2 linked regions of the Ovis aries genome follow. The protein of the gene in region 1 interacts with the protein of each later gene in a biochemical or structural test. Links are inferred from orthologs where the notes say so. Each region holds a gene or a part of one and is shown in the gene's direction. Other genes may lie near its edges.

Region 1 (4,204 bases):
TGTCACAGACCTAACCAAGGCCCCGGCCTTTAGCAGCCCAATATGCTGTCCCAGGAGCTGCCTGAAGCCCGCTTGCCTGTGGGATTCTCTTCCATGTGAGGCAGCCGCGTTCTGGTTTCAGACTCAGTGGGAATTCTAGAATTCTCCCTCTAACCTCTCCTCAGTGTCATACAGGGGAGCTCCTCCACCCTCTGCCTGTCCCTCTTCGTCAGTGGCAGCTGCCAGACTGAAAGGGAATAGTACCTCTGAGGTCCCACACTCAGGAATCATATTTTAACTTTTCAATGTTTCGATGGCTTGCAGCTTCTGAAGAAGACCACAGAAATTCAGCCTGCTTCGCCTGCATCTTATTAAGCCATGGAGAAGAAAATTTAATTTATGGAACAGATGGCAAGACAGCAATAAAGGACTTGACAGCCCATTTTAGGGGGGATCGATGCAAAACCCTGTTAGAGAAGCCCAAACTCTTCTTCATTCAGGTAATCCCTTTTCAGAGTCTATAGAGAGACTTCCCTGGTAGTCCAGTGGCTAAGACTCTGCACTCCCAATGCCAGGGGCCCAGGTTCAATCCCTGGTCAGGGAACTGGATCCCACATGTTATAACTAAGTGCAACTAAGCTGCAACTAAGACCCAGCACAGACAAATAAATTAATTTTCTCTAAGTATGAAAATAATTTTAAAAAACGAAGTCAATAGAAATGAAAAAAGATTACAGAGTGACTTGGCTTGTATCATTTTTTACAAATCTACATGCTGTTTCCATTGGGGTATGCAAATTTAGGTTGTATTTTTCTACCTCTAATGCTTGGCATCTGTATTTGCATTGGATCACAAATTATCTGAGTTTAAGACAGTATAGTCTTTTTATTTGCTCTGCTTGCTAATTCAACACATCTTCAGATTATCTTGGACATCGTTGTGTTGTTGGTACATGCCAAGCACAGTTCTGGGACTGCAGTGGAATACAGCTGTGAGTAACACACGTGTTCCTATTCTCAGCTTCATGCAGCCATCTCTGTGTTGATTTTAGGCTTGCCGGGGGACAGAGCTCGATGACGGGATCCAGGCTGACTCAGGACCTATCAATGACACTGATGCTAATCCCCGATATAAGATCCCTGTTGAAGCCGACTTTCTCTTTGCCTATTCCACAGTTCCAGGTATCAAGTCCCTTGGCTGCTAACCACACTGTGCATCCCACCTTCGAAATGGAGACTTGGAGCTGTGTTAGTTTCCTATTGCTGCAGTGATAAATTGCGGCAAACATGGTGGCTGAACACACACAGTCCCGCAGGTCAGAATTCCAGAATGGACAGCAGTTCCTTCTAGAGACTGTAGGGGGCGCAAATCCACAGCCTTACTTTCAGCAGTTTAGAACTGCCTGCATTACTTGGCCTGTGGCCCCCTTCCTCCAGCTTCAAAGCTGGCAGCCTCGTACCTGACCCTCCTTCCATCCTTACGTTGTTCTTTCTGACCCTCTTGTAAGGGCTCCTGTGGTTAGATTAGTCCTGTCTGGATAATCCCAGGATAATTTCTCCATCTTGTTTCCTTGACCTCAGCCCCATCTGTGAAGTGCTCTAGGGCAGCAGTTCCCACCCTTTTGGCACCAGGGACATGATTCATGGAAAATAGGTTTTCCATGGACCAGGGTGGGGGTGGGTGGTTTCCAGATGACTCAAGTGCATTACATGTATTGTGCACTTAATTTCTATTATTCTTACATCAGCTCCACCTCAGGTCATCAGGCATTAGAGCCTGAGGACCCCTGCTTTATGGCGTGAGCATTTCTGAGGGCCACTGTTCTGCTTACCATGGCGATATAGTCACTTTTCTCTCCAAAAGAAAGCTGAATTCTCTCATTTATGATTATGATTATGATTATTATTGATAATTATAAGAACAAGCATGTCTATGGTACCTATTTACTGAGTGTTTTTCGTGTCTTCTACCCTGAAATAATTGTGTAGTAGTTAGGAAAGTTGTTACTTCTGTCCTAATTTTACAGATAGAAAAAAAAATTGAGCTTGAGTAAGTTTAAGTGACCTGCCCAAGGTCATACAGAGATTTTCATACATAATAGAGTTATATAGCTCAGACCAGGACTCCTTTAAACAAGCCTGTAAACAAGCACCAGAAATGCCAGCAGCAAGCAAGCTTCCCTCTTGTTTGGGTTTGCCTGAGCAAGTTCAGTGAACTCCATTGTTTGGGGTAAAAACCATCACTGACTTCTCCCAGCTATGATAGTAGGTTGTCAAGTGCTTGGTATAGAAGTATTGGTTACAGTAAGTTGGCTGTTGTGTTTGGAAAACCAGCTCTGGCAAGATGTACAGATGGGATTTTGTGAGAATGAAAACTTCCCAGTTTTAAGAATCCTGTAAAAAAGAAATTTGGTTCCTGCCTTTGAGAGGAAGGCAGAGTCATAGGAGCTTATAGTTATGTAATCCAACCTGTCAGTCGAGTTGGAGGGGCCCTAAGCCAGGTCTGGCAGAACTGAAGGAAAAAGGGTGAACTCTAAGGGTGAGTTCTAGGGAGAGAGAGGCTTCAAAGAAAGAACTTCTATAACCAAGTCTTTAAAAATCAAATAACAGGAGGAAGGTTGAAATGGCTTATCAGACAGAGTGCCAGGGGCAGGTGGCTCAGTGCATTGGTAAAACTCAAGAGCTGGACCACAGGGTGTGTTAGTCTTTACAGGCAGCTCTAACGTAAGTCCACAGGCTAGGGAGCAGAAGTTCATTTTTCACAGTTCTGGAGGTTGAGATCAAGGTGCCAGGCATTGTAGCTTCTGAAGAGAGCTGCTACCCTAGCTTGTAGACCACTGCCTCTTCACTGACGTGGCCCAGGGAGGGGAGAGGCCGTAGCCCAGGGTATGACTGGGCATGTTGTTGTTCATTAGCCAAGTTGTGTCCAACTGTTCACGACCCCATGGACTGCAGGACTGGGCATGAACAAGGTTCAAACCTAGACAGGGAAATGGGGACCCAGTTGTGGTGGGCCCTGTGGGATGTGCTAAGCAGCCTAAATTTCACCCTCATATAGAAGGAACCATTTTAGGTGAGAGAGGGATGTCAACTTAAAAAATATTCACAACCTAAAACTTGAGAGTTATGTTTTATTACATGGAAATTTTTAGGACTTAAGCCTGGGAGATAGCATCTCAAGTAATCTTGGGAGAACTCCAAGGAGACAAGGGAAGGAGCCAGGTTATATAGAAGTTTTGCAACGAAAGGGTGGGTAGTTTGAACATCAAAAGGCTATTGTTAATGAAAGAAAACCAGATAACCCAAATTAATGTAATGCCTCTCTATGTATGGGAAGATGCAAAAGTCTGAACTGCCTGAAATCACTGCTTTCATATGCATCAACTACTGGGGCCAGTATCCTGTGTTTTTCACAACCCGAGCTCCCTTGGGGCTCACCATCGGGAGTGGCCGCAGTCTGATGGCTGCTAGCTCACAGGTATTCTTCTCCTTCCTGAGTGCCCTTTGTGCTCACCAGCTCACATTGGAGAGCTGCAGTCACTGATGACTGTGACATCCTCGTTTACTGAGCAGGAAATATTCCATTTCTCGGGGACAACATGAGATTTGTGTTTTAGAATGATTCCCTGTAGTACAGAGTTTGGAGGACACATATCCAGTATGGGGAAGTGGGGACTGCTGTCATCTCAGAAGAGCGCATGTGAAGGCCCCAGTCACAGACAGCTCCTGCTGGGTAGTGAGCAAAGCAGCAGCCAGGTCAGCTGACTTCATCTCCTTTCTCTTCTCCCATTGAAGGCTATTATTCATGGAGGAACCCAGGGAGTGGCTCCTGGTTTGTGCAGGCCCTCTGCTCCATCCTGAATGAGCATGGGAAGAGCCTGGAGATCTTGCAGATCCTCACCCGGGTGAATGACAGGGTGGCCAGGCACTTTGAATCCCAGTCTGATGACCCACGCTTCCACGAGAAGAAGCAGATTCCATGTGTGGTCTCCATGCTCACCAAGGAACTCTACTTCTGAAGATAATTCATTCCAGGGGTGCATTCCAGCTGAGAAGCTACGGATCATTTGTTGATGAATCAGAAATCTTTTTCGTAATGCTCTTAAAAGATCCAGAAATTCTAAAAGATTTTAATTTCAGGAAAATTATTGATTCAACGGGAAAGAAACTCTCTGGTGCTGTCTTATGGTCTCTGACTTTTCAGAGACTTTTTTTTACATTGTTA
Region 2 (5,097 bases), on another chromosome or scaffold:
CTTTGGACTGTAAAATCAAACCAGTCAATCCTAAAGGAAATCAGTCCTGAATATTCATTGGAAGGACTGATGCTGAAGCTGAAGCTCCAGTACTCTGGCTACCTGATCTGAAGAGTCAACTCATTGGAAAAGACCCTGATGCTGGGAAAGAATGAAGGCAGGAGGAAAAGGGGACAAGAGAATGAGATGGTTGGATGGCATCGCAGACTCAATGGACATAAGTTTGAGCAAGCTCTGGGAGATGGTGAAGGACAGGAAAGCCTGGCATAATGCAGCCTGTGGGGTCACAAAGAGTCAGGCATGACTGAGCGACAGAACAACAGCAATAACAAGTTAATGTGACAGGCTTCCCAAGTGGCTCAGTGGTAAAGAATCCACTTGTCAGTGGGAGAAATGCAGGGGATGTGGGTTTGATTCCTGGGATGGAAGGATCTCATGAAGGAGGAAATGGCAACCCACTCCAGTATTCTTGCCTGGTAAATTCCATGGACAGAGGAGCCTGGTGGGCTGCAGTCCATTTGGTCACAAAGAGTCAGACACAACTGAGCACGCTGTGCTAAGTTAGTATGACCTCATCTTCACTAGTTACATCTGCAAAAACTCTGAATCATGCAATCACGACTTTGAAAGATGCTGAGACCTCAGAACTAACTGGGAGTAGATAGAACTTGGGAACAAAGCCGTTCCTCTCTAGCAGATGCACTTGAAAGCCTGGTAGTTTTTCCATTCTCCTTATTTGGACAAAAGGATTTTAAAGAATATAATTTCATGGCCTTTTAAAAAAAATTCCTATTTTAGTGGAATTAATTTTAAAACCATCTTGCTGCAGTTTCATTGAAAATCACTTTTTTCTTTCTGATGGAAAAGAAAAAGAAAGGTTTAACTATGAAGAAAAACTAAGAAATGGGACATTCCTCTACATTCTACTACAGGTGATCAAAGTACAAGGATATTTAGAAGAAAACAAACATTTGATATGTAATACCTTTAAACATTCATTTTTCTAATTGCAGTGAGTGGTGTTGAACTATTCATTGGTGCTAATTATTGCATGGTTTTGGCATGTTAGAAAAATTGTCATAGGCTGTAAATAGTTACTTTTCAATTCAAAAGAATGCTTGGAGGTAAAATGCTATTATTCAAATAGCTTTGAAACAAAAGTGACTTAAATACATATTCCATAGCCCCAAGTTAGAAACAGTGTTCCCTCCATGGTTCTCAAAGGAAATCCCTGTTTCTTCTGGTTATGGAAGGAACACAAACTCATTTTTACATGAATGGGCACCCTTAAGGGTGACTAGGATTAAAGGAACACTGCATCTCACTGTAGCCAACAATAAATCATGTGGCCAAAATGCAGCTACTCACAGCCTCTTGTGTGTATCATTGTGTAGCAGCTCTTTGTAAATTGGGTTAGTAATTTTGAGGACGTCATCCCATGCCAGAACCCCCGAGGGAAGCAGCTGCTTTGGTGGGACTTTGTGGAGTTTCTGAGCCATTTCTGCTATTTGTCTTGCCCGTGGGGCAGGGCTTCCTAATGTGGGCTCCATGATAGCGTCAGGAAGATTATGAACTGGGATAAGAAAACATAGGGCAGCTTTATTTTCTGTCTACTTCCAACTAAAACTTTATAAACCATGTCAGTAAGTAGTCAGGAATCCATAGTGGTATCGGTACCACCTGTCACTGTCACCCATAGAAGTCTCAGCTGCCTTGAATACTTTTTACTCTTCATCACTTCCAAGTTACTGTGTTGTTGGGCCATCTGTTAGATCCCATCAAATGTGCTAGATCCCATCAAATAAGAACCATATACAAATCTGTCTTTTAATGTGATAGCTGTGTATCAGTGTCATCCATTTCCTTTGTGAATTTGTGTTATTTTAAGCGTTTAAAAATGCTATTCTTCATGAAAAACAAGGCAAACTAAGCAACTGTCACAGAACCAAGGTTTCTAGGGAGACATGACAGCAAAATACAATGGATACCCTAGATCTTGGAACAAAAAGAAGGCAATAGTGGGAACACTGGAGAAATCCAAATCAAAGCCTGAAGTGTAATTAATGGTAATATAGCAACAACGGTTTCTTCCTCTTAACAAGGGTACCATGGAGATGTCCAGTGTCAGCAGTGGGGCATACTGAATGAAGGTCATTCAAGAACACTCTGGACCATCTTTGCAACTTTTCTGTACATCTGTTAATAATCTATAGTGGCTTCCCAGGCTTCCCCAGTGGTGCTAGTGGTAAAGAACCCACTTGCTGATGTAGGAGATGTAAGAGATGCATGTTTGATCCCTGGGTGGGGAAGATCCCCTGGAGGAGGGCATGCCAACCCACTCCAGTATTCTTGTCTAGAAAATTCCATGGACAGAAGTGCCTAGCAGGCTGCAGTCCATAGGACCAGAAAGAGCTGGATGCGACTGAGCACACGCACACACACACGCACACACACACACACACACACACACACACACTTCTGTAGTGAGTCACACTCTCACTTGGTCTGCTGCTGCCTTCCAGAGATCACACACACATACACACACACGCACACACACACTTCTGTTGTAAGTCACACTCTCACTTGGTCTCCTGCCGCCTTCCAGAGATGTTGGGGTGGGGCTTTTGTGTCAACTCAAGGCCTTCATAGCCTCTTTCTGTTACAGCTCTGAGGAGTTATGTAGAGAGACCAGTCCAAAGGGAGGGAGAAGTTTTCCAAGAAGTAAAATAATTTGCAGTGTATTATGGTGAAAGAGGCATTGTTCTGGGATCAGAAAGGTCCAGCTTTGTATTCTGTCTCTGTCACCAGCTTTGTGCTCCATGGCCAGAAATTGCTCTGGACATCCTCTTCCTCTTTGAAAAATGAGGCCATCAGTAATGGCTTTGCCAAGGTCATTGTGAGGATTGACATTAGCGTGGCCACTTAGTAGCCCTTTCGTTGGTTCTGGTTGGTGTGTTTTAGTGTCTGTGACATGCCAGGCACCATGCAAAGCATTTTTCATAAGGTATCTAATTTAATCTTCATAACACATGTATTGCATGACTATTTCATAGATAGGGAAACTGAGGTCAGAGGCTCAGCAACCTTGCTGTTCAGGCCACTACCTGAGCTTGACTTCACATCTGTGCTGGCTGCAGCTTCCTCTGTCTTTGAGGCTAAGCCTTTCCCCCCTTCCCGAGGGGTCTTGGTTATGGGATGCTCTTCGCCGTCTCTGACTTCTGAATCCTCTCTTGTTGATTTTGCGTACCATCCAGATTGGGATGCTCCCCCATGACTGTGGTTCATTATGGTTGGCTTCTCCCGACTTGAGATTACCTGGCTGTAAAATGAGAATGTTGTGTGGTCCTCACGGTCTGTCCCTCTACAGAAGATACGTTCTGCACTTTGTGGATTTTACCTGCTTATTTCTGCTGTTTCATGGGGTGTTTACTGGGTCACTGAAACCAACATTTTTCTGATTTGTTTTGAGCAAAGTTGTGCATTTCTGTGTCATTCTCCCAGATTCCAGAGAGGGAGAAAAAGAGTTCCAAAAGCCTTAGTGACCTCCTAAAACCATAGCGATTAAAAAAAGAAAAAAAGAACCTGGAGGCCACTGTAACATTAACATCTTCCTTAATTGTGATTTTGCTGAGGGATTATTTTAAAGGACCAGGGAACAATTTTATTTTTTGTTTCTTTCTTTGATTAGAGTGGAGACATCATGTGCCATGATGTACTTGCCAATTATTTCAAATTGAGTCTAGCAAAGTTGGAGAGTGTCAAGTATTACCTGGACAGGTGAATTTAGCCATAAGATGTAGCTACTGGGTAAGGAGCCTGATTTTCACAAGCGATGTGGAGATGCCTTTAGTGTGAAAATGAGAAAACCACTAACAGTGCTTGGCATGGTTACTTCAGTGGGGGCTGGGGGGTCTGGTGATTGCATGATCTGCTCCCCTGTTTTTCAGTTTTTCCCCTACATCCTGCTGCTGGTGGCCATCCTGCTGTACCTGCCCTCCTTGTTCTGGCGTTTCGCAGCTGCTCCTCATGTTTGCTCAGATTTGAAGTTTATCATGGAAGAACTCGACAAAGTTTACAACCGCGCAATTAAAGCTGCAAAGAGCATGCATGACCTTGACTTGAGAGACGGTGCCTGCCCAGTGCCAGAAGTTAATGAGAACATGGGGCAAAGGTAACTCAGCCCCCAACCCATCGGGATTTGGGAGTACGAGTTTGCTGCCCTTCTGTCCATCTGGGCTTCAGGTTCTCACTACTAGTACGTGGGGGACTGCCATCTGCCTCGTGACACCCGGGGGGAGCCAGGAAGGCCCGCCCTCCCCAGATCTCACCCTGCCTGTCTGCCCCAGCCGCGGTCCTCACCTCAAGTCCTTCCCTTGTGGAGTGAAGCATCACTCGCTCATGTTCTCAGTTGCAGGGCGAGTTGCTTTGACCTTCCCCTTCATGGAGAAACACAGGATTATGAGGCTCCTGGGCACCGAGATTGGACATGAGGGAACTAAGGAACAAGTAGACAGCACCTTGCTCTTTTGGACATCCTTCCTTTGGTTTTTGTGATTGACAATAGCAGTAATAGCATTAGTAGGTCTCATTTTGGGCTTCCCAGGTGGCTAGTTAGTGGTAAAATATCTGCCTGTCAATACAGGAGATCCAAGAGACGTGGGTTCAATCCCTGGGTTGGAAAGATCCCCTGGAGTAGGAAATGGCACCCCACTCCAGTATTCTTGCCTGGAGAATTCCATGGGCAGAGGAGTCTGGCAGATCACGGTCCATGGGACTGTAGAGAGTTGGACACAACTGAGCACACAGCTCTCAGTTTTAAAAGTTCTTAATATAACTCAGACACTGTTGAGTTTTCCAAAGTGCGTTATCTCATTTAATATTCAAAACATCATTACAGATAACTGCATTTATTTATCCCCCTCACTGCCGTTGTCCAGCCCCCCACCCCCCACCCAACCCCCCAGTTGAAAACTCTGTCCTGTAGCTTTAAGTGGGAGACCTGGAACCAGGACCAGGTTTAGCCCACAGGCTAAACCCACACCCTCTCAGCTGTTTTCCTCCCACTGCTGGCCTATAGGAAGCAGATGTGTTCTAGTT

What was found. The genes of interacting proteins can lie anywhere in the genome.
Region 2: of the proteins of CASP7 (region 1) and PANX1, one has a biochemical effect on the other in vitro, tested with the Homo sapiens proteins (2 studies listed by IntAct). The link is inferred for Ovis aries from reciprocal best matches to the Homo sapiens genes CASP7 and PANX1.

The regions. Positions count from the first base shown.
Region 1 is NC_056075.1:33,721,228-33,725,431, forward strand, and holds part of CASP7 (caspase-7), read left to right. Parts: intron 1-303; coding exon 304-479; intron 480-510; exon of another isoform or gene 511-583; intron 584-1,031; coding exon 1,032-1,161; intron 1,162-3,774; coding exon 3,775-3,998; 3' UTR 3,999-4,204. UniProt on the Homo sapiens protein: Thiol protease involved in different programmed cell death processes, such as apoptosis, pyroptosis or granzyme-mediated programmed cell death, by proteolytically cleaving target proteins.
Region 2 is NC_056074.1:199,875-204,971, reverse strand, and holds part of PANX1 (pannexin-1), read left to right. Parts: intron 1-3,947; coding exon 3,948-4,171; intron 4,172-5,097. UniProt on the Homo sapiens protein: Ion channel involved in a variety of physiological functions such as blood pressure regulation, apoptotic cell clearance and oogenesis.